2 linked regions of the Struthio camelus genome follow. The protein of the gene in region 2 interacts with the protein of the main gene of each other region in a biochemical or structural test. Links are inferred from orthologs where the notes say so. Each region holds a gene or a part of one and is shown on either strand. Other genes may lie near its edges.

The links. The genes of interacting proteins can lie anywhere in the genome.
Region 1: the proteins of ANGPT1 (region 2) and TIE1 interact in a biophysical measurement, tested with the Homo sapiens proteins (2 studies listed by BioGRID and IntAct, with this or other methods). The link is inferred for Struthio camelus from reciprocal best matches to the Homo sapiens genes ANGPT1 and TIE1.

Annotation. Positions count from the first base shown.
Region 1 is NC_090949.1:25,358,479-25,368,325, reverse strand, and holds the start of TIE1 (tyrosine-protein kinase receptor Tie-1), read right to left. Parts: upstream 4,489-9,847; 5' UTR 3,760-4,488; coding exon 3,714-3,759; intron 3,527-3,713; exon of another isoform or gene 3,321-3,526; intron 3,050-3,320; coding exon 2,762-3,049; intron 1-2,761. UniProt on the Homo sapiens protein: Transmembrane tyrosine-protein kinase that may modulate TEK/TIE2 activity and contribute to the regulation of angiogenesis.
Region 2 is NC_090943.1:143,117,812-143,128,620, reverse strand, and holds the start of ANGPT1 (angiopoietin-1), read right to left. Parts: upstream 4,042-10,809; 5' UTR 3,431-4,041; coding exon 3,134-3,430; intron 2,358-3,133; exon of another isoform or gene 2,244-2,357; intron 611-2,243; exon of another isoform or gene 441-610; intron 1-440. UniProt on the Homo sapiens protein: Binds and activates TEK/TIE2 receptor by inducing its dimerization and tyrosine phosphorylation.

The DNA of each region.
Region 1 (9,847 bases), on a different chromosome or scaffold from region 2:
TGCAACACCGTCCTGGCAACATGGTATTGCTCATTTTGGCTATTTATTCCATGTCCTCCTCTGTCAGCACTTTGAGACAGATTTTCTGACAAGTTCCCTATAAATTAAGGTTTCATTGTGGGAATTTCCACAAACTTCTCTATGGTGTACATAGACGCAAAAAAAAAAAAAAAAAATCGCTTTTCTGCAGTGGCCTATCTGGGAGACTTTCTGTCCCTGAGATTTTGAAAAATGTTGTATTGCCAATTTTAAACCCTTCCTAAATTGCCTCTTACGTTCTTTTTTGTTTTTTTTGTTTTTTTTTTTTGCATGAAACCTTCCAAAGTTTAGGATCCTTCCTATTTTCTTTTTTTTATTTTTATTTTTTTCATTTGTGCACAACACAACACTTTGGAAGATATCAGCTTGCTTCTAGCAATTTTTCCTACCGGCTGCTTAGTGATTCACACACACTTGTGTGCTTTCTTAGCCTTTGAATGAGAGGTGACATGCACTTGAACCTCCAAGATGGTTTCCTTACATAGCCCTCACTCCCCCTGCAAAGATCTAATATTTTTAGTTACCTTTTCCTTTCAGCAATCTTCCTCATTTTTAGTTACTTCTCCTTCTCTAAATTAAACAGACCAATGGTAACTTCTTTGGCTCTTGTTACTCCCACAGGGGTTTTGAGCCCAGGCACGTAAGAGGGAGTCTCAGTGAGCAGCTCGTGGGAAGCGGTATTGTGAATCAGGTCCCGGTGGTGATCCGGGGGCTGGCACGGAGCAGCTCCCTCTCACCACCAGGCTATGTGACCCTAAAGCTCTCATCTCCCTCTGTGACTTGCACCTGGGATGTACAGGGGCGTGAAGCCCTCTGCCATGCTCCTGACCCTGCCAAACCCCTGTGGCCCGTGGACAGCCCTACCGCCGTGCTCTACCTGTGTTGTCCTGGCAAGAGACAGGGAAATCCCGCAGAAAGGCATCCTCTGTCGCTTGTTGATACAGTTAGTTTCCATTTCAGCCTTTCTTTAACATACAGCACTACTCTTTGAACATCACAGCAGACTCAGTCTTTCCTATTTGCTTTTGTTTGGTATTAGCATATCCCCCGACTCTGTTTGTCCTCTGCTGGCGCCTCTTTGGCGCTCTGTTTGTCCAGACTAGTCGTCTCCGTTTCCGATATGACTGCTGCCATTTTCAGGTCAAACTTCTGGCCAAGGACACAGTCCCAGTCACTACTTTTTGGAGGATGTGTGGACCCCAGAGGCCTGTTCCTTATCGCAATCTCTGTTCCACAGCTTGGAAATATTAGAGCTGCTCAAAAAATTATAGTACAATTGTGTTTTAATAGAGGGAAGGGAATATGTAGTCTCCTCATTTCATTCTCAGTAAAAGGGGGACTGTTTTAGCTGAAACTTTCTAAAAAGGACCCAGAAAGCATCCTAAGGCAATTACCTATTACAGAAAATTTCAGTCCTGATAGTCATAGTTTTGCAGTCTCGAGCACCTGAAGAAGGGAGGTTACAGGGGGCCGTGTCAGACAATGTTAAGCCTGGACGTTACCCCCACTGTGGCCTAGCCCAGGGATGCCCTTTGGGCTTACAAGGCACTAAATAGGAGATGGAGCACGAAGGCAAGAGCCCAGCATTCAGCGTTGCCCTTGACTGCCTGCAAGCCCTTGGCAATGCCTTTCGCCATCGCAGGAGGCCGCGAAGTCCTGCTGCTGCAAGGAGCTTGGCAGCCCTGAGCTTGCCAAAGCACACGTTCAGATCCAGAGGGCACAACCTTATCCTCAAGGAGACTGAAAGGAGGTGTACCTCCCCACAAGAAGCTGCTTTGTGCACTCTCATGCTTCCCGGGAGCCACAGCACAGCTTGTCCCACATGCCCCCTTCAAAGAGCCAGTTACGATCCCAAATATGCAGTTGAGAGTCCCCTCAGCAGCTTTTCTTCACTCTGATCCTGCAGGCTCCTCGGCACCTGCTACTGCAATGTTTCCATTCATAGGCATGGTGCTGGGCAGAGTCAGCCCCTTCGCGGTCCTCCCGGCACGAGGCTGGAAGCACTACTCTGTGATGGGCTAATCTCTTCCTGGTTAATGATTTTCAAACCGCGCTACCAGAGACACCCTCCTCCAGAGCCGTCTGACTTCCTGTTACTTGGACCTTGGCTTGATCCTGGGCACAATTCCCATCTCAGCCAGCTGCCTACAATGTGACTGTTGCCCTTCCTGGCAAACCTCCTTGAGAGAGGTGACCCACAACTCTGGTGGAAGACATGAAACGCCCTTGGAGTTCAGCCATACTCCTCAGCTGAAAATCACAGTAATCCCATATTTTTGGGAGGTCGCAAAAGCTATTTATTGGACTAGGTGTCATCTCCTGCACGTCACAAGTTAATCTACAGCACCATACAAACATTTAACTGAGATAAATGCATGCTGCTCGTGACTGGTGCTTGGATGAGTCAAGCCCCAGTGGTGGTCAATCACCTCTCCCATGCCCCTCCCGCTCAAGTGCCACAGGTGCCATGGCAAGGTGGTGGCTACCCACTGAGCACAGGCCTGTTGGCCTTCCAGTGCCAGTAGACCCCAAATCTGGCTTCAAAGAGTAGGTCACCACTGTCCCACCATAACACCTTCCTCAGTTGCACCAGAACTGCAAAGCTCAGAGGGTGGGGGAAGAAGCCTGTAACTGCAGGCTTCACATGCAGTCTCCAGCTTGCCTGTGGAGGAGCTCCCAGGGGGGGACATGCCAGCACCCCAGGAGCCCCCAGCCAACTCACCATTGTGGCTGTTGTGCACATAGACCACCTGGGCCTGCTCTGTCTGTGTGCGCCCCAGGCAGTAGAGGATCCCCACCAGGTCAGGCATGGAGAAGCCCCTGGCCTGGACATGATTGCTGCGGTTGTGGTAGTTTTGGAAGCCCGTCTTGGGGTGTGTCATCACAATTTTGTTGTCCCTCTCGATCTGCAGGTAACTCACGTCGCGCTCGCCCATGACGCAGGAGAGGAAGAAGTCAGAGTGAGACAGGCTCTGCACGTTGGCAATTAGGGTGATGTCCAGGATGGCCCCTAGGATGGGAGCACAAAAGCACGTCATGAGCCGCGGCCTGGTCTTTGCATGCCAGACGAGAGCACCGGCCATCCCAGCCCTGCATCAGGGTCAGTCATCATGACAAACCCCATACCTCAGATGTAAACCCCTCCTCCCCAGGCCTTCTTGCCCCCTGCACAGCTCCAGAGCCATGCCGGGGCACAGCCTCTCTCCCTGTCCCCAGGTTGGTACAGAGCCCATCTGGACAGCAGGGTGGGGATTTCTAGTCTCTTTTGGGGGAGCTCCTACCTTAATGCCCTGGAGCACCCACACGAGCCCAGCATGCAGCCAAAGCAGGACGGGAGGTCCTAGGGCTCCTCTTCCCACTGGCCTTTCCTCCTGTGAGTTGGTCATGCTGCTAGCCCCGTACCAGGGGAAAAACAGGTGGGAGAGGGCAGCTCAGCCCTGAGATTAGGTCCCCTCACTGTCAGGCTCTGAGAAGATATCCAAATTCCCTATAAGACAGGGATGCTTCCTTCCTCCAAGCCTATCTGTGCTCACAAGCAGCTCTGGAAAGAACAAACCCTGCTCCATCCCCACCCCCAGCACCGCCGATTGCCCTCGATTCTCTAGTCCCACAAAGCTTCCCTGGGGAAGGGGCTGGTTCCCTGGGAGCAGAAGGGAAGAGGGAGAAGAATTTACCTGTCAGCCATGGGAGGAGAAGTAGAAGATAAACTTGGAGTCCCATGTCCTTGAAATGTGTCCTGAACCTGGCACAGGTTAGAAAATCCCAGATATGCCCCAGCAGCAAGAGAAGGAGCTGGAGGGCTGCTGCTCCCTATCCGCTCCCCATGAGGGATGGCTCAGGGCCCTTGCTCTCTGTCCGTGGCTCCCATCTTGCCTTCTCACCGCTGCCCAAGGTCTGGAGGAGCTGGGAGGCCGTCCTGGTGTTCATATTGCAGGCACAGCGAGGAAGAGACTCCCCATTCCCCGCCTAAGAACAGCACTGTGCCCAGTGCCCTGCTCGGCTTCTGCCAGGATCTCAGCAGGCTCCAGGGATCGGCGCAGACAGCCCAGGTGGCAATGGGAAGAGAACGGCGCAAGTAGGACTTTGTGGTAAAGAGGCCACCAAGCTGCTGATCTGTCAAGGAGAAGGGACCTCGTTCCTGGAGGAGTCACAGCTGTGTATTCAAGGCACCCAGCGCCATGCTGACTCCCCCAGCCTGGTAGGGAGGCGTCTCAGCCCCCTTCCTCGCCCACAAGGAGAAGATCTCACGCTTGAGCCCATTTGCACAGCAGCATCCTCAGCCCCTCAGCACACTCCCGCCACCCGTCGGGATGGCTGGTGCGAGAGAGGCACTGGGGAGCCAGGGAGACCGACAGCTGTGGGAAGAGCTCTCTTGAGCAGGCTCAGCAAGGGAAAGGAAGGAGGCCAAGGGGCCGCGGCTGGCGGCAGTGGAGTGAAATCCTGTTTCCCATGCAGCGTTTCCTGCTCTCCACCCATTGTTCTGACATGGCCCTGACTCCCGGAGACGGGAGCGCCTCGCCGCGTGGCGGGAGCTGCCCTGCAAAGCCTCTTCCCTGGAGAGCGGCAGGCAGAGACGCTCAGTCCTTACCTGTTTCATAACACTGTCCGTCCGGCAAGCCCCTGAAGCCTTGGCCTCCTCCTGCTATGAGCCAGGCTGCCAAGACATGAATCCACAGATTCAGCCCAGAGCCCACATAAACCAGCACTTCAGCCCTGATTTAAAATGGAGCCTGAAAAACTGGAAGAAGGTCCAGTGATATGACTGAAGGTCAGGAAAAGACCCCTCACAGGAGCAAGGTTGCAGAGGCTGTCTGTAAGTAGCGCATAAAGCACATTGACTGGCATGGCAATTCAGAGCTGGTACAGAGGCAGGCTTAACCACAAAGGCTCAGGGGATTCAGTCTACAGCTCTACCCAGAGACTCTCTGCATGGCTGTAGTCCTGGGCTGCAGTTTTCAGTGCTTGAACTCAGCTGGAGCCAGTGAGAGTTTTCTGCTCACAAGCCTTGAAGAAAAAAAGCTTCACCATGGCTGGGCCTGTAACAAGAGGGTGACACTGTCCCCCAGCTCCTGCAGTACAGGGAAGAGGCCAGTGGTGCTGAGGACACCCTGACAAGGGCAGTCCTGGGTATGCTGGAGCTTCTCTGAGAGGCTTAAAAATTGCTCTCAGTCCTAACTCATACTGAGTGCTGCCTTCCTAAGTGAAGGGACAGCCCCTCTGTGTCACGTTCCCATTGCTAGTAGAAATGTTACCAAGTAGTACAAGAAACTCCTAACACTGCTCCTGCTCATGTCCTTCCCTTCCCACCTTCCCTCACATTTCCATGTGACTGCGCAGAGCTCCCACCATATCAGATTTTGCCAGTACAGTGTATATGGCAGATGCACAGAGCTCCACCAACCTCAGCGACATCCCACCATGCCACACAACTTGGGAACACTGCTGATAGGAAGGGGAGGAGAGGGGCCAGCTCACGGGCTCAGGGTGGTGCCCCTCACCCCTGCAGCTCTGGCAGGATCTACAGGGAGTGAAGAAGGATCCCACTGAGGCCTAGTCAATAGTTGTTTTGGAGAAATCTGGATGATGGGCTCCTTGCAGCGTTCTCTCCCTCGAGCTACCTGTCAAGGGATCTCCTGGGGGCACGTGAGCAATCTAAGCATCCGGACTGACCAGCAGGGAAAGGCACATTGCACGTGGGACACACAGCTCCGTTGGCATCCCTGAGAATGTGCAGGACCTTGGCCTCCTGGAGAGAGGCGTGGGGAAGGGGTTGGGGTGGCAGCACGCACCAGGAGCGCTTGGACTTGTCCTGGGCTGGGTCCACACTTGTGGGAGACTGCGCAGGGGCACAAGCCCCCTTGCACCAGTGGCTTCCCCTGAAGGATGAATCAGCCAAATTACGCCCAAAAGTGGTGTCTGGAATAATGCAGGGAAGAGATCCCAAAGCCAATCTGTCAGCAGAGGCTGTCTGGTTTGAAAGTGGCCAAATGCGAGCTAGAGCATTCGCAGCACAAGACAAAGCTGGCTGGCCTGAACTGGAGGGCGGGAGTGGCCATCAGAGAACAAAAGCCTCTGCAGCGCAGTAAACATGTCTGGGGGGAAGCTGAAAGCAGTAGAAAGCCCAGCTTTCCTTGACTGTTTTCCAGCCTGCCTCTCCCTTTCCCATTTCACAAATGGCCTGTCCTTGGGTTACACCCGGGAACCTCCGAGGCCCACAGGCAACATCCCAGCACACGTGGCATGCTTTGCTGCAACCTGGCCCCCTGCTCATTGCGCACCGTGCACAGCCCGCCACACACAAGCGTGCACACAGCTGCCGCTCAGCAAGGCTCGCGGGCCTGCTACGCTGCCCTGCGGACACGCGTGCAGCGTCCCAGACTGTACTGGGCTCTCCAGTGAGACAAGGGTGACCTCAAAGAGGGCTCTGTGCACCTGAGGTTAATCTGACAATATTTAAGGTATTCCTGGTGAAATCACCATAATCTTCACCTGCTAAACTTCATGTTGTTTCACAAACAGTGCCCTGAAGTGTTCCCATGTGAAAACCAGGACTGCTGGGGAACAAGCCTTATGTTTTGGTGTGTCCAGAGCCCATGCAGTATCCGGTCGAAAATCTAAAGAACACATGGACAGGAAAGGGAAATCCATTCATTGTTTCCGACTATTTACAGTGCACTCCAGGGACGTACAGTGCCCCTGAAGAGTGTGGAGTGATTAGAGCAGACAGGGACTCTGCCACACCACTGCTGACTCTTCACCCTGGCACAGGCTGCTCCCACACACTCCCATGAACACAAACACTGCAGCCAGCCTGAGACAAAGAGATGGAGAGACTGCAAAAAAGATGGACACTGGGTTGTAGCTGCCCACATTTGTCTGGAAAACTAGTCATGTTGCTTTCCTGGTTGATATTTGGGTGGGTATGCGTAGGGGCTCCATCTTTGGGGACCCACGGAGCATTTGAGGCTCAACTATAATTTAAACAAATCAATGTGTTTCCAGAAGTGAGGATGTCACTGAGATGGACACGCACAGGCTGGGCAACCAAAACCTGTTCCTCTTATAATCTGTATTCTCCAGTCCCTCCGCATTCCCATGAACTGCCATGTCCTTATTTGCCTGTCAAATCCAAAGCTCATTTGCAAGTTCTTTGGGTCAGGGACTCATCCATACATTCGGTACAGCTGCAGGAAGGTGGATAGATACATAAACACATAAATAAATGGCTTCTTTCCACCATCCCATTGTTCACGAACTGTAGAGGTCAGTCACACTTGGTACTATAATTACCATTGTGCTATCGTGTACTTACACATATTGCAGCTAGATAAATAATGGGAGCACAGGCTCACATTCTGCGATCACTTGACAATGCAGCAGTACTAATAAAACAATAATTTACGACATATATTGTAAAGTGTCATCTGACATGAAAAATCATTTGGATGAAGGGTTTATCTACATGGCACAAACAAGCTTTATTGGAAGGCTTTGCAACCATGGGCCTTGCAGTATGCTCCTCCAAAGAGCAAAGCATGTCTATGGTTCCAGGAAATGGATCCAGGGCATTGCTTTGATCTTTTGGGGAAGTGGATCCATTTAGCCATCAGTTGTCCATACCAGGTGATGTCCAGAAAATCTAAGGGATCTGTCGAGGGATCAGACACAGTCTGATTTGTCCGGTTGCTTTTTTTCTAGAAAGACCTAGGTAAGAGGTTTCTATTTGTGCGAATCCCTTGGGTTAGAGGTAGGGTAGGAAACTTCTTTGGGGGTCCATGGGGAGACTCAGTCAGGATCCCACAGCTCCAGTTTAACCTGATGTTGCTCCAGAAAATCAGTGGTCCTGGGTTAGCTATGCCCAGCTGAAGCAGCCCACCACACCTGCTCTCCTCTCCGCTGATATGGAAAGCTCCATTTACCCGACCCATAGCACAAACCTCACACAACTGAATGCTTTTTCTGCAGAACTAACAGACCCAAACTTTTTTGCTGACTCATGATGAAGTAAAAGAATTAGTGACAAAAATAACCCTTTTCGGTGTCATTTACCCATTCTAGTCCAAGGTATCACATGCCCTGATACATTTCCTGATAGGAAATGCAAACACCCTGTTAACTCACCTACAGGATGCATCAGCAACACTTTCTAGTCCTACTTTTCTGGCCATTTGTTTAGTTTTATGTCCATGGTGCCAGTCTTGTACAACAGGAGCGGGGTCCACACATATAAATGGAAACACGCCCTTGGGGAGGCTGCTGCTGAGAACGAGCAGGAATCGCTCCCGTTGCTTTAGGCGGGTGCAGGTCTCTGGGACATAGGCCAGGGAAGGCCCTGCAACGCAGTGCTAAAAGCTGCAGCCGCCAGGCTAGGAGCAGCCCTGGAGCGGGGACAGCATGTCACGGGCAGGCATCTGCTCCGCGGCCCGGCATCCCCAGTCCCCAGTCCGCCGGGCTGCCTTGGCAGAGCATTTCGGGAAGAGGGTGGAGAAGGCCAGCCGCAGCAGGAGCAGGCAGGGCGCCTGTCTGTGTTTGCATTCGTCACACGTTTGCAGGAGCAAGGACGAGCTGGGAAACACTTTTCCCGAGGAAAGGGTGGGGACCCGCGGCCGCGGAGGAGCCCCTTGGCAGCCAGGGGGAAGTGGGGCCTCCCTGCCCCAGCCGTCGCCCGACTGGAAACTGCAGAAACGAAGATTTGTTGTAAGCAGCCGGCTTCCTGCCGCTGCCGGGGAGGAGGAGCACTCCGGCGACCCGGGAGCAGGGCGCTGCCAGCACTCTCCCGTGCCTGGCATTTTGTGGGTGCCAGGAGGCTCTTGCTAGTGTCCTGACGGCGGGAGACTGGCCCTGGTATCGTTCAGCGCTGGCTCTCCACCTGGTGGTGCGTAGCCACCTCGCGCCAGACGCGCGGGACCCGACCGGCACCGGCCTCCTCCAGCTCTCGCCCTCTCCTCGGCCCCCCGCGAGCCCGGGCGCGGGAGCATGTCCAGCCAAGGCGTGCGCCACGATGCCAGCTCCTGCAGCAAAGACGTTTCCTTGAAATAATTTCTCTGAATGTCACTGACTCCACGGGATGGTTGCGTGGTTTGTGGTGGCTCTGGGCCGGGGGTGCTGGGGGCTGGGGGGGGTCCCCAATCCCCTGGGATCCCCGGGGGAGCCGTGGAAGCTGCTCCGAGAAATAACGCTTTTATTAGTGATTCATCCATGCCAGAAAGCCAACTCCACAGAGGCACTGCCGGGCGCAGGGACCTGCCAGCTTGCTGCCTTTTTTAAACACCTTTCAGCCCTCTTATTTTCTTATCAGTCCCCTGCAATCCCAGGCCCGTGCCGTGCCGAGCCGAGGGGCCGCCGGCGCTTGGGGGGGCTGCGCCGGCCGGCCGGTGAAACCCACCGCAGCCGCCTCCCGCACCTCCGGGGCCGGCGCGCGGGGCGCTGCCGCCGCTGCCGCCGCCATGGGGGCCCGGCACGCGCCTCCCCGGGCTGGGCGGCAGCGGGGAGCCGAGGCGGTTAATGTGTAACCGGCCCCGCCACCTTTCACCCCGTGGCACTGGCCTCTGGGCGCAGCCCCGCGAGGCAGCACGGGCGCTGGCGGCGGCCGAGCTCGGCCCCCAGGTGAGCGGTGGCGAGGCCGGGGACCCGCGTCGGGGAGGCGGGGGGCGGCCATGGCGGCGCGCGGGGCGGGCAGGGGCCGCGTGGCGGCGGCGGTGGCGGCAGCGGCGCGCGAGGCGGGCAGGCCTTGGCGCCAGGCCAGCGGCCTCCGTGGTGGAGGAAGGCCAGCGGCAGGGCGATGTGGCACCCGGAGAGGAGGCCGAGC
Region 2 (10,809 bases):
GTGAGTAGATCATGCCAAACTCACTTACTTACAACTATTATTAGTATTATTTTGACTGAAGGATAAATACATGAAATAAACGCATCTCTATTGCCATTCTGAATGTATACTGAGACCACCAATATCTTAAGTTCACGCAGCTGACTAACAGAAAGTTCCCGAGCAAGACATGATGATAACATTTCATGTAACTCCTCTTTGGCAACACTTAGACACTGCAATTAAATACCAAACAGTATCACGTGTGCCAGTCGGTTACAGCAAGAAACAAAATGTGATGAACTGTTTGTTTTGAACTATTAGTATAAACATATTGCAGAAATGAAACCCAAGCTTAAACAATGGAGAAAGTTATCCGGTATTAAAATAAACAGTTCTAGGAAAATCACTGAAAATGTTTACCAAGTCATCTTCTTCCAAGCAGTTTCTGAGCAGAGCATTTTGCCGTGTCTGTGGTTTGCCAGCCAATCCCAGCGACGCTGACTATAGATATGCAAATGCTATTGGACAAGGCTGCCACTTAATTGCCTGTAATCAGCTCCCCAAGCAAGCACACTTTTATCTACAATCAAGCTACTAGGTCATCAAAGAAGCACTTTTGTTGCTGAGGGTAAAAGAATTTCCTTTTCTCTTAAGGAATACCTATTTTGCCTCGAGAAATCTACTAATTTAGAAATCAAGGAAAAGCATCTTCTAACTTAAAATATTACACGATTTCTTAAGTATATAATACCTTATACAAACTTTCTTAATAAATACCCTTCCGATACTGCAGGCTGCATTTGCGCTAAGAAAATAAGAGTCTCTGGTAAACATTGCCAATGTACAATTATAATGAGAGTTATATGTATTACATAGACTAATAAGCATATTTCTTCTACGAAGGTTACAATATATCTTGAATTCTGAAATACAAACTTTATTATAACTATTCACTTCTGATTACAGACCTATAGTCATTAAGAATTCTTTGTTTTGTTCACAGCAGGTGCATTGTAAAATTTTGCCTGGTGAAGCAGTATTTATATCCTGTATTAAAAGTCGAGGGGAAAAACAAATGCAGTGTAAAATGAGATGTGAGATGTCTACACAATGTATTCATTACACTAAAGCATTATGCTTCTTATGAAAGGAAATGAGTTATGGCTGAAACGCTTTGTAATGGCAACAGCGACAAAGCAAATTCAGCATTCAGAGATGCTATAATGGAGCTGCATCGGACTCATTTGTTCCCAGGGAGCTGTACTCCCTCACACAGAGAAACGGGTCCTTTCATTCTGAGGAGGACTGACATATGGGCATACGTGCGCAACCCTGGCTTCGTGTAAACCTAGGGCAGCAGAGGGCTGGGGGCTGGGAAGGGCAGCGGGGGAGTGGGGGGGATGGTCCTGCCCATAGCCGGTTTTACAGTCATTGAAGAAGAGAACAGTCCTCGGATATAAAATCCTTTCCTTGGGCTTCCTACCTGTTTAATCACTTCCCTCTGAAGCGTGAGAGGACTAGCCCTAGCTCAGACATTCACACTCTAGAGACTCATTTTTCTTCTTGTTCAGTTCGCGGTGAAACAGTGATCTTAGTTCAGTCTCTAGTGGACAAACATAGAATAAGTAAAGTCTCATAAGCATGATTCAGCAGGCAATTTGCTCAAGTAAAATCATGTGTGCATAAACACAGATAACAATTTTCCTCTTCTCAGTCCTTGCCTTAAACTCCCAAGGTGCAGTAAAATTATTTCTTAAGAAATCCTCTCCCTTACAAGTAAAGACATCCCCTCAGTTCCAGCCTTGTATTCCCCAAAGCAGACCACAATATTAAAAACTGAGGAAAATAGTCTGAAAAAGAAATGCTCAGCTATATTTTGGTTTATAGTCACATGTTTATTAGATACAGTCATCTCTCTCTTTCTAGGACTATATATGCAAAGAGTACAATTAATTTATCGGGAGATCAGGAAATTCTCTGCAAAGGTTTTAATATGGTTAGAAGGGTAGCGGTGGTTGTTTATGCTTTTTAACATATTTCTGTCACAGGAAATGAAAATTGTAAATGAGATAGGTAGCAATAAATATGCTAATATGAAGTTTTAGTAGTCTTTACTAGCATTTTTATTGATATTCATTCTTCATATAATCTTGCATTACAGTTAAATGATGTTTCTCTTGAATAGGTACATACGATGGTTTTCTTGTGCCATCTTACATGATTAATTGCATCATTAATTGCTCAGTTTTCTGTTTCGCCAGGTCATAATGCCAAGGTGAGAACAGGAATATTACAATCATATAAAAAGACCTAATTTTACTTGTCATCTCTCTCAAACCATTCTCAATATCAAACCATGGACAAGATCCAGCAAGGTAAGTAATTTTACTCAAGTGAGTAATCTTATTAACGTAAATGGAAGTGCTGATATGAGTAAAAGTTATTCACATATTTAAGTCTTTCCATGCCCAAGCTTCAGCTCATACATAAAGAACTGAACAGTTCAGTGAAAGTTTACAGCTATAGCACAAATTCTTGAAAAGAATTACTTCTGCTAAGTTACTATAACACTATTTTCAAGTCCAGTGTAATCCACACATTTAAAAAAATTACTGTGATGATTTAAGAATGTGAATGCTTATATACTTTTATCTGTCTTTCCAGTGATTAGCTGGATGGAATAGGATTACAAGATCTATTTATGGAGATAGTAATAATAGTCTCAATATAGTGCCTTTAAATGTTGATTTTTTTACATATACCTTTTTGCTGTCAGAGCAGCAGGTATGCTGCAAGACATCTGATCTGAAGCTCTGAAGCATAAACCAAGTTTACAAGACTAGCTAATAAAGTGTTCCTTCGTTAGAGTCTCTGATGGATTTTTGTATACTCTGGCTCACAAAACATCCGTGGTCTCTTGAGATAAAGCTTTACAAAATTGCATCTTCCAGTAATGTGAAGAAAATTCTGCTCCCAAGAGTAATCTCACTACGAAGGGTGCACTCTGGCTGTAAGATTTCTCACCCTGCAGAGTTATGAACTAGAGAAATCCTTAGTATCTCATTTCTCACAGAAACTCATGAAAACTACAAACAGCATAAGCACCACCAAAAAATATCCATTTGTGAGAAGTGGAAAAAGAAGCACTTACTTTTTGCAGCCACTGAGTGTAATTTTCCATCACATGTTCCAAATGTTGCAGTTTCTGGGAAGAGAAATCCTGTTCCACGTGAGGAGCATCTCTCTGAAGAGCGTTTGTGTTGTACTGGTCTGTCGTGCTTTCACGACAGTTGCCGTCCTGTTCTGGTAGAATGAAAGTATAGGTGCACTGCCCATGCTGAATCCGGTTATATCTTCTCCCACTGGCTTCTGGACCCCGACGTTGATTACTACAGCCCATATGAGCCAGAAGAGCAGCCAAGAAAGCAAAGGAAAGGAAAATTGTCATGTTATTATTACTTTCCTTTACTAATTTTAGAAAAACTTTTTTCTTCCTCTTTCTTTAAATTTGTTCTTAATTTCCTTTAAAGTCTTTGGGGAAAGGACTGGAGAATTGTACTTTAGTAATCAAGCTTGGATAAATTGTTATATTTTTGATTTCAATATTAGGATAGCTTCCTTAGTTAAAATTGGGAATATTTATTGCATAGTAGCTAAGATTTATTGTTTCCTCTCTGTTACAGTCCAGCATGTAGCCTGCTTTAGTCAGCTGCATATGCATATCCCAGTCTCTTTCCCCTACACTATCTGCTGCAGAACTGCTATTTTCTCTCAGACTTCAGTGAGTTTTATTAAGGTTGCACATTCAAGCCAAGCTGGAAGCAAGCAGCCTTTCACAAGATGACTTGACAGGAATGCGTGTATGAGTGCGCCCCTATGCTAAGGATGGCTGATGGCTCGGTACAGAGGGATCATCTTACAAACTGGCTGGATGCATGACCTCAATCATGCATGGCTTTCCAGCCCCTGTTGCACACAACTGCTAAGGGCTTTTGACGAATTCACGCAAGTTTAATAAGTTGGGCAGTCCACCTTAATACACTTCATATGTTCACACTGACCTATTAAAATGTAGATAAAGTGTAGAAGTTTGTTGTAATCCTTCTGTAAATATACAAAGCACTGAAATTAAAAATACTTTCAGTTCTCCACTGCTCAGTGTCTATTAAAGAATTCTAAATCAGAAGAATGACACTTATGAGAAAAAAGTTACATTTAACCCTCACATACTTTTGCTACTTTTCTCAGACATTTGTGTTACTTTAGCAGAGTTTGCAGACAGCTTTTCACAGGATTTAATGAAATGAAGGTTGCCAAATAATAATGAGAAATAGCAGTTCAGAAGGATAATAATATTCTATGTTTGGCTAGTAAAATAAGGTAACTAGTTACAAAACTGTGAGGTATGCTGGTTGAACTACTCCAGATTGTCCTATGGACTGTATAATTATCACATGTGAAACACTTCTACCAATGTGCAAGTCGGGACAGGCTACACAGTCACCCCTTATTATATATGAAAACTTTCTCAGGGGTAACTTCCTCAGAAAAGGATTGTGGTAAATATTTAGGAAACTATCTTAAACAGAAATAATGCCTTTGGTATTTGCTTGAGATCAAACTAGAATGCATAGATTAGAAACAGGATCAGAATAATCCTAAACTTCAGAGAAATTTGGTGCTGAGTTCCTGCTCTAGGATTTGCTATTGTTACACAAATACCAGCCAACTCCTTTGCAGACCACTTTGCACAATTTTGCTCATGAGTGTAGGTAGTCTGGGCAGTCTACCTGCAAGAATACTGAGTGCAAGCACCTCAGTGCTCATGCAATTGTCATTATTATGTATATATATTTTATTATTATAATTTTAGAACTACAATTTCAATCTAAAAGAACTGCCTGGAATTTTCAGCCAGGAGTCTGCCCTGCTCCTGAATAAGCTATTCCTACTCAAAACTGGGTGCTGAGGCTTTCGTCGGGCACCTGAAAAGAAACCATTCCCTTTGAATCATGAACAAATATCCCCTGCAAAAATGTAGAGAAATGAGAGGGTCTTAGCTTGTTTTAAAATGTCTGTTTGTCCAATATATAGTGAAAAAAGGCAAGCAACAAGAAAGCAAAGCAAACAGCGAAACACCAATGCTACCGTTGATTTTAACAAAATCAGAACATCCTTCTACCTCTGAATTGCTCAGCCCACCTTTGCACTCTGGCTTTTCTTTTTCTCCCTCTGAATATCAACTTCATAGAGCTCACTGTATTGCAAGCATTTTTCACATTGCTCCATCGTCAACAGATCTAGCTCTGCTGTGGTTTATTGCACTGTCTCTGCAATTATTGCGAAATGTATTTGCAAGATATTTGCTCATACCATAAGATCAGAAAGCTTTGATCTTTGAGGGAGAAAACTCAGATCGGACGCTGAGCTGAGGGGTGAGCATAAAAACAGTCATTCTGTATAAGGAGAAGTAAAATTGTCGGAGCACAAAAGTGATAACAATCCATGCCTTTTTAAAAGCAAAAAGAGAACTTTATCAAAGGACCTCAAAGCAGCAAAAGGGGGATGGTAAAGGTGAGTGTACAAAAGGCTTCCTAGAAGATTAAATCATATTTTAAAATGCTGCTGTTTACACAAGTCCTGCATTCACTTTCTGATGAGTATTTAAGCTACAGACTTTTACTCCCATGAAAACTTGGGAATGTGAGAGGGTAAACTTACAGGGTTTTTCAGATGAGAAGAGACTTCATGCAGCAGCAGGCGTGCTTTGTTGCTATTGCATGGCTTAAAGCACACTTCTCTACCTTCCCCTCCTGTCCCCTTCTTGCTAAGGGGTAACAGCCATAAGGCCCTTCAAGTAGATGCACAGAATTGGCAAGCCTCTTTGGCATTTCTCACATATCTCCTGCCTAGCTCACTGCCACACCACCTGCCTCCCATAGCAGACTCCTCCCGATCCCAGCCCCAGGGTGATGGGTGACGGGCAGCACATATCGGTGAGATGCCAGAGTGCAAAGACGCAGCAGAGCCACGCAGCAGCCAGAGCGTCACCTGTTAGGACACTGCACTAAAATCTTCCCTACTAGAGAGAATCAAGTCCCCTCGCTCGTTCAGTGAGCTAACAGTGCCATGTCTGTGTTACAGGACGTAGCATGCCTGCGTCGTCTCGTGTGCCTGAACCTGTGGAGTCTCACACAGAGGGGAGGATGAAGGGAGGTTGGGGGAAACACCCAGAGCCATCATGTCACCTCCAGTTTGCAGTCTTTTTAATCACAGGAGAGGTAGATAAGAGCACTCATGAATTGCACTGGGATGCACTTCAGTTTTGGGATACGATGACTCTCAGTGACCACTGACATGGTGGCAGTCCTGCGGGCTACACTGAAGCACAGTGAGCTCTCAGGGCTGCCCTTGCTTATACCAGGCCCTGAGCGTCCCTTACTAGAAGCACAGACACTTGGCCGCTCTTGATCCTGCAACACAGGGGGACCGTCAAGGTCAGCCACTCAACCTGATGTTCCTCCAAATACTTAGCAAGTTCATTTTTACAGGGACTTTGAACCAGTCACTTCAGGTTCAGTTTATATTCTTCCCTAATATATTCATGGTGCCATGCATACCCAGAGGAGAAAAGTGCAAAAGCAAACACAGAAAAGAGCATGTTTCCAGCTCTGCAGGCATTTAATTCCATAATACAATTTCCTAAGAAATTCTGTTCTACCTAAGGAAGATAGAATGCAGAAATGAGAAGACTTGTCATTTTTCCCATTCCTACTGAGACATATGCTGTATTTATTTCTTAAAAGAAATAGAAAATAAAAAAAACTTGACCCACGAGTTTCAATGGTTTGGTGTTTTCTACCTGAACTGAAAAAAATACAGTGTATTAACACAGTCCCACTTGATCTATGTGACCTGTCCCAACATTTTAAGAAGTGAAATTCTCAGTGAAGGGAGAAAAAAAAGTCCTCAAAATTCAGTCAGAGTCAATGTGGATATTTCTGCAGGATGCTACATTACATGGTATAGATGTAACCTAAATGATTTATCCAGAATTGCAGAGAAAAATCAGTTGCAGAGCCAAAAACCATGTAGGGGCATGGATGTATTTAAAAACCTCTTTATTTTCCTAAGACCACTTCCTCCAACACAATGACTAGCTTCATATTCCCTGAACTTTTCCTTCTATGTAAGAGGGAAGGGATGGATCCGGAGGCTTCCTTCCCCGACCATATGAAGTCTCAGCTACATTGTTTATTTAGTACCCACATAAAATTCTATAGTTGACTATGTAATCAGTGCTACAAGGCAAAAGAAATTGGAATTAAATATCTAGATAAAGCTTACATTCATATAATATCATTTCCTATGTATTTAGCAGAAAAATAATGCCTTTTGTCACAGAATCATAAACATGCTTGGAGTTCAAACAAATTCAAGAAAACAAAAATCTATTTCTGTTTCTTTACATTTCTGCTGCAATATGTGCTATTGCTGCAGACGAGTTACATTAAAGTTGCATAATATCACACACTGTAACTGGAGTTACTCCAATTCAACTTCCTCAATGTATAACGAAATTCACTATAGAATGGCTCCTAACAGAGAAAAGAAATAGGCTTTTTGTAGTAGGGGTTATCTCCAGCTAAATCAAAGCTTACAGGAAGGTGCAGTATTTTTCATTCTTAATCACAGAACAGTTGAGACTGGAAGGATCCTCAGGAGATCATCTTGCCCTACCCCTCTGCTTAAGCAGGGTCACCTAGAGCGTAGTGCCCAGGACCCTATCCAGATGGCTTCTGAACATCTCCAGGGATGGAAACTCCACAACCTCTCTGACCAGCCTGTGCCAGCACTCAGTCACCCTCACAGGAAAGCAGTTTTTCCTCATGCTCAGACAGAACTGCCTGTGTTTCAGTTTGGGCCTGTTGCCTCTCATCCTATCGCTGGGCACCACTGAGAAGAGTCTGGCTCCATCGTCTCGATACTGTCCCTTCAGATACACATTGGTCAGATGCCCCTTCGGTCTGCTCTTCTCCAGGCTGAACAGGCCCAGCTCTCTCAGCCTTTCCTCACATGAGAGATGCTCCAGTCTCTTCATCATCTTAGCAGCCCTTCTCTGGACTTGCTCCAGGAGCTCCATGCCTCTCTTGTACTGGGGAGCCCAGAACTGGACACAGTACTCCAGATGTAGCCTCACCAGGGCTGAGTAGAGGGGGAGGATCACCTCCCTCGACTTGTCGGCAACATTCTTTGTAACGCACCCCAGGATACCCTTGGCCTTCTTGGCCACAAGGGCGCATTGCTGCCTCATGATCAACCTGCTGTCCACCAGGGCTCCCAGGGTCTTCTCTGTACTGGTGCCTGGGGTTATTCCTCCCTAGGTGCAACGCCCTGCACTTGCCTTTGTTGAAGTTCATGAGGTTCCTCTGCCCATCTCTCCAGCCTGTCCAGGTCCCTCTAAATGGCAGCACAGCCTTCTGCTGTCTCAGCCACTCCTCCCAGTTTTGGATCATCAGCAAACTTGCTAAGGGTGCACTCTATCCCTTCATCTAAGTCACTGATGAATACATTGAACAAGACTGGACCCAGTACTGACCCCTGAGGGACACCACTAGCTACAGGCCTCCAACGGGACCTTGCCGCACTTATCACAATGCTCTGAGCCCTGCCATTCAGCCAGTTCTCAATCCACCTCACTGTCCACTCATCTAGCCCCTACTTCATCAGCTTTCATGTGAGGATGTGTTGGGAGACAGTGTCAAAAGCCTTGCTGAAGTCCAGGTAGACAACATCCACTGCTCTGCCCTCATCTACCCAGCCAGTTGTCCCACCACAGAAGGCTATCAGATAGGCTAAACATGATTTCCCTTTTATGAGTCCATGCTGACTACTCCTGATCATCTTCTTATGCTTGATGTGCTTGGAGATGGTGTTAAGGATGTTCCATCCCCTTTCCAGGGATCGAAGAGACGTTGACTGACCTGTAGTTTCCTGGCTCCTCCTTCTTGTCCTTTTTGAAGGCTGGAACATTTATTTTCTTCCAGTCCTCAGGCATCTCTCCTGATCACCATGACCTTTCAAAGATGATTGAGAGTGGCCTAGTGATGACATCCGTCAGCTCCTTCAGCAATTATGGGTGTATCCCATTAGGATCCACGGACTTGTGTGTGTCCAGTTTGCCTAAGTGATCCCTAACCCAATCCTTCTCTACCAAGGGAAAGTCTTCCTTTCTCCAAACTTTCTCTCTTGTTTCCATGGTCTGGGATTCCTGAGGGCTGATCTTAGCAGTAAAGACTGAAGCAAACAAAGCATTCAGTATCTCTGCATTTTCTGCATCTTTTGTCACTAGGGCCCCTGCTCCATTCAGCATTCACATCTCGCCTAGTCTTTCTTTATTTACTGATGTTTTTATAGAAACCCTCCTTGTTGTCCTTGACATCCTTTGCCAAATTAAATTCCAGATGAGTCTCAGACTTCCTAGCCCATCCTTGCATACTCTGACAACATCCCTATATTCCTCCCAGGTTACCTGTCCTTGCTTCTACCTTCTGTACACTTTCTCCTTATGTCTGAGTTTTGCTAGGGACTCCTTGTCTATCCATGCAACAGGTCTCCTGCTCCCTTTGCTCAACTTCTTTCTCATTGGGATGGACCATTTTTGACCTTGAAGGAGGTGATCCTTGAATATCAACCAGCTTTCTTAAATCTCTCTTCCTTCTAGGACCTAATCCCATGGGATTCTTCCAAACAGGCCCCTGAAGAGGCCAAAGTCTGATCTCCTGAAGTCCAGGGTTGTGATCCTGCTCTTTGCCCTGCAGCCTCCTCTCAGGATCCTGAAATCCACCATCTCAAGGTCACTACAGCCAAGGTTGTTTCCAACCTTTATATCCCTAATCTGCACTTCCTCATTTGTAAGTATGAGGCCTTGCAGAGCATCTTTCCTCATTGGCTTCTCTGTCTCCTGTATCAGGAAGTTATTACCGATGCCCTCCAGAAACCTCATGGATTACTTGTGCCTTGCTATGTTGTCCCTCCAGCAGGTATAGGGGTGGATGAAGTCCCCAGTAAGGACCAGAGACTGCGAACATGAGGCTTCCAGCAGTCTGTAGAAGGTCTCATCTACTTCTCCCTGATCAGGTGGCCAGTAGCAAGCAACTATAATAGTGTCGCCCATGTTAGTGTGTCACCTAATCCTTACCCATAAGCTCTTGGACAGGCCATTGTTCACCCCCGGGGCAGAGCTCCCAATATTCCCACCGCTCTCTCACATAAAGGCTGACTCCCTCTCCTCTCCTTCCTGGCCTGTCCTTCCTAAAGAGCATGTACTTCCATTCCAGTCATGTGACCTATCCCACTACGTCTCCACAATTGCAATGAGATCACAGCCCTGCAACTGCATGCACATTTCTAATTCCTCCTGTGTATTCCCCATGCAGCATGCATTTGTGTATAGGCACTTCAGAGAGGCATCTGAATGTGCTGATTTCCAAGAAGGGGCGCAAGAGGTTTCCCCATAGTCTTGTCTTGTAGGTACTTCCTTGCCTGCATGCAAATGCTTGAAGTACCCTCAGTTAAGCTGTGTTTTGTTGATTGTCGTCCCTATAACTTTTCCATTCCCCCACTTTTCCTAGTTTAAAGCCCTCCTTACCAGGTTGGCCAGCCTGTTTGCAAAGACGTTTGTGCCTCACTTAGTGAGGTGGATGCCACCTCTACCAAGCAGATGTCAGTCTTCAAATAGGGTCCAACGGTCATAGAAACCAAAACCCTGTTGCCAACACCAGCTGTGCAGCCAATTTTTGACTTGCTGTATCCATCCACTCCTCC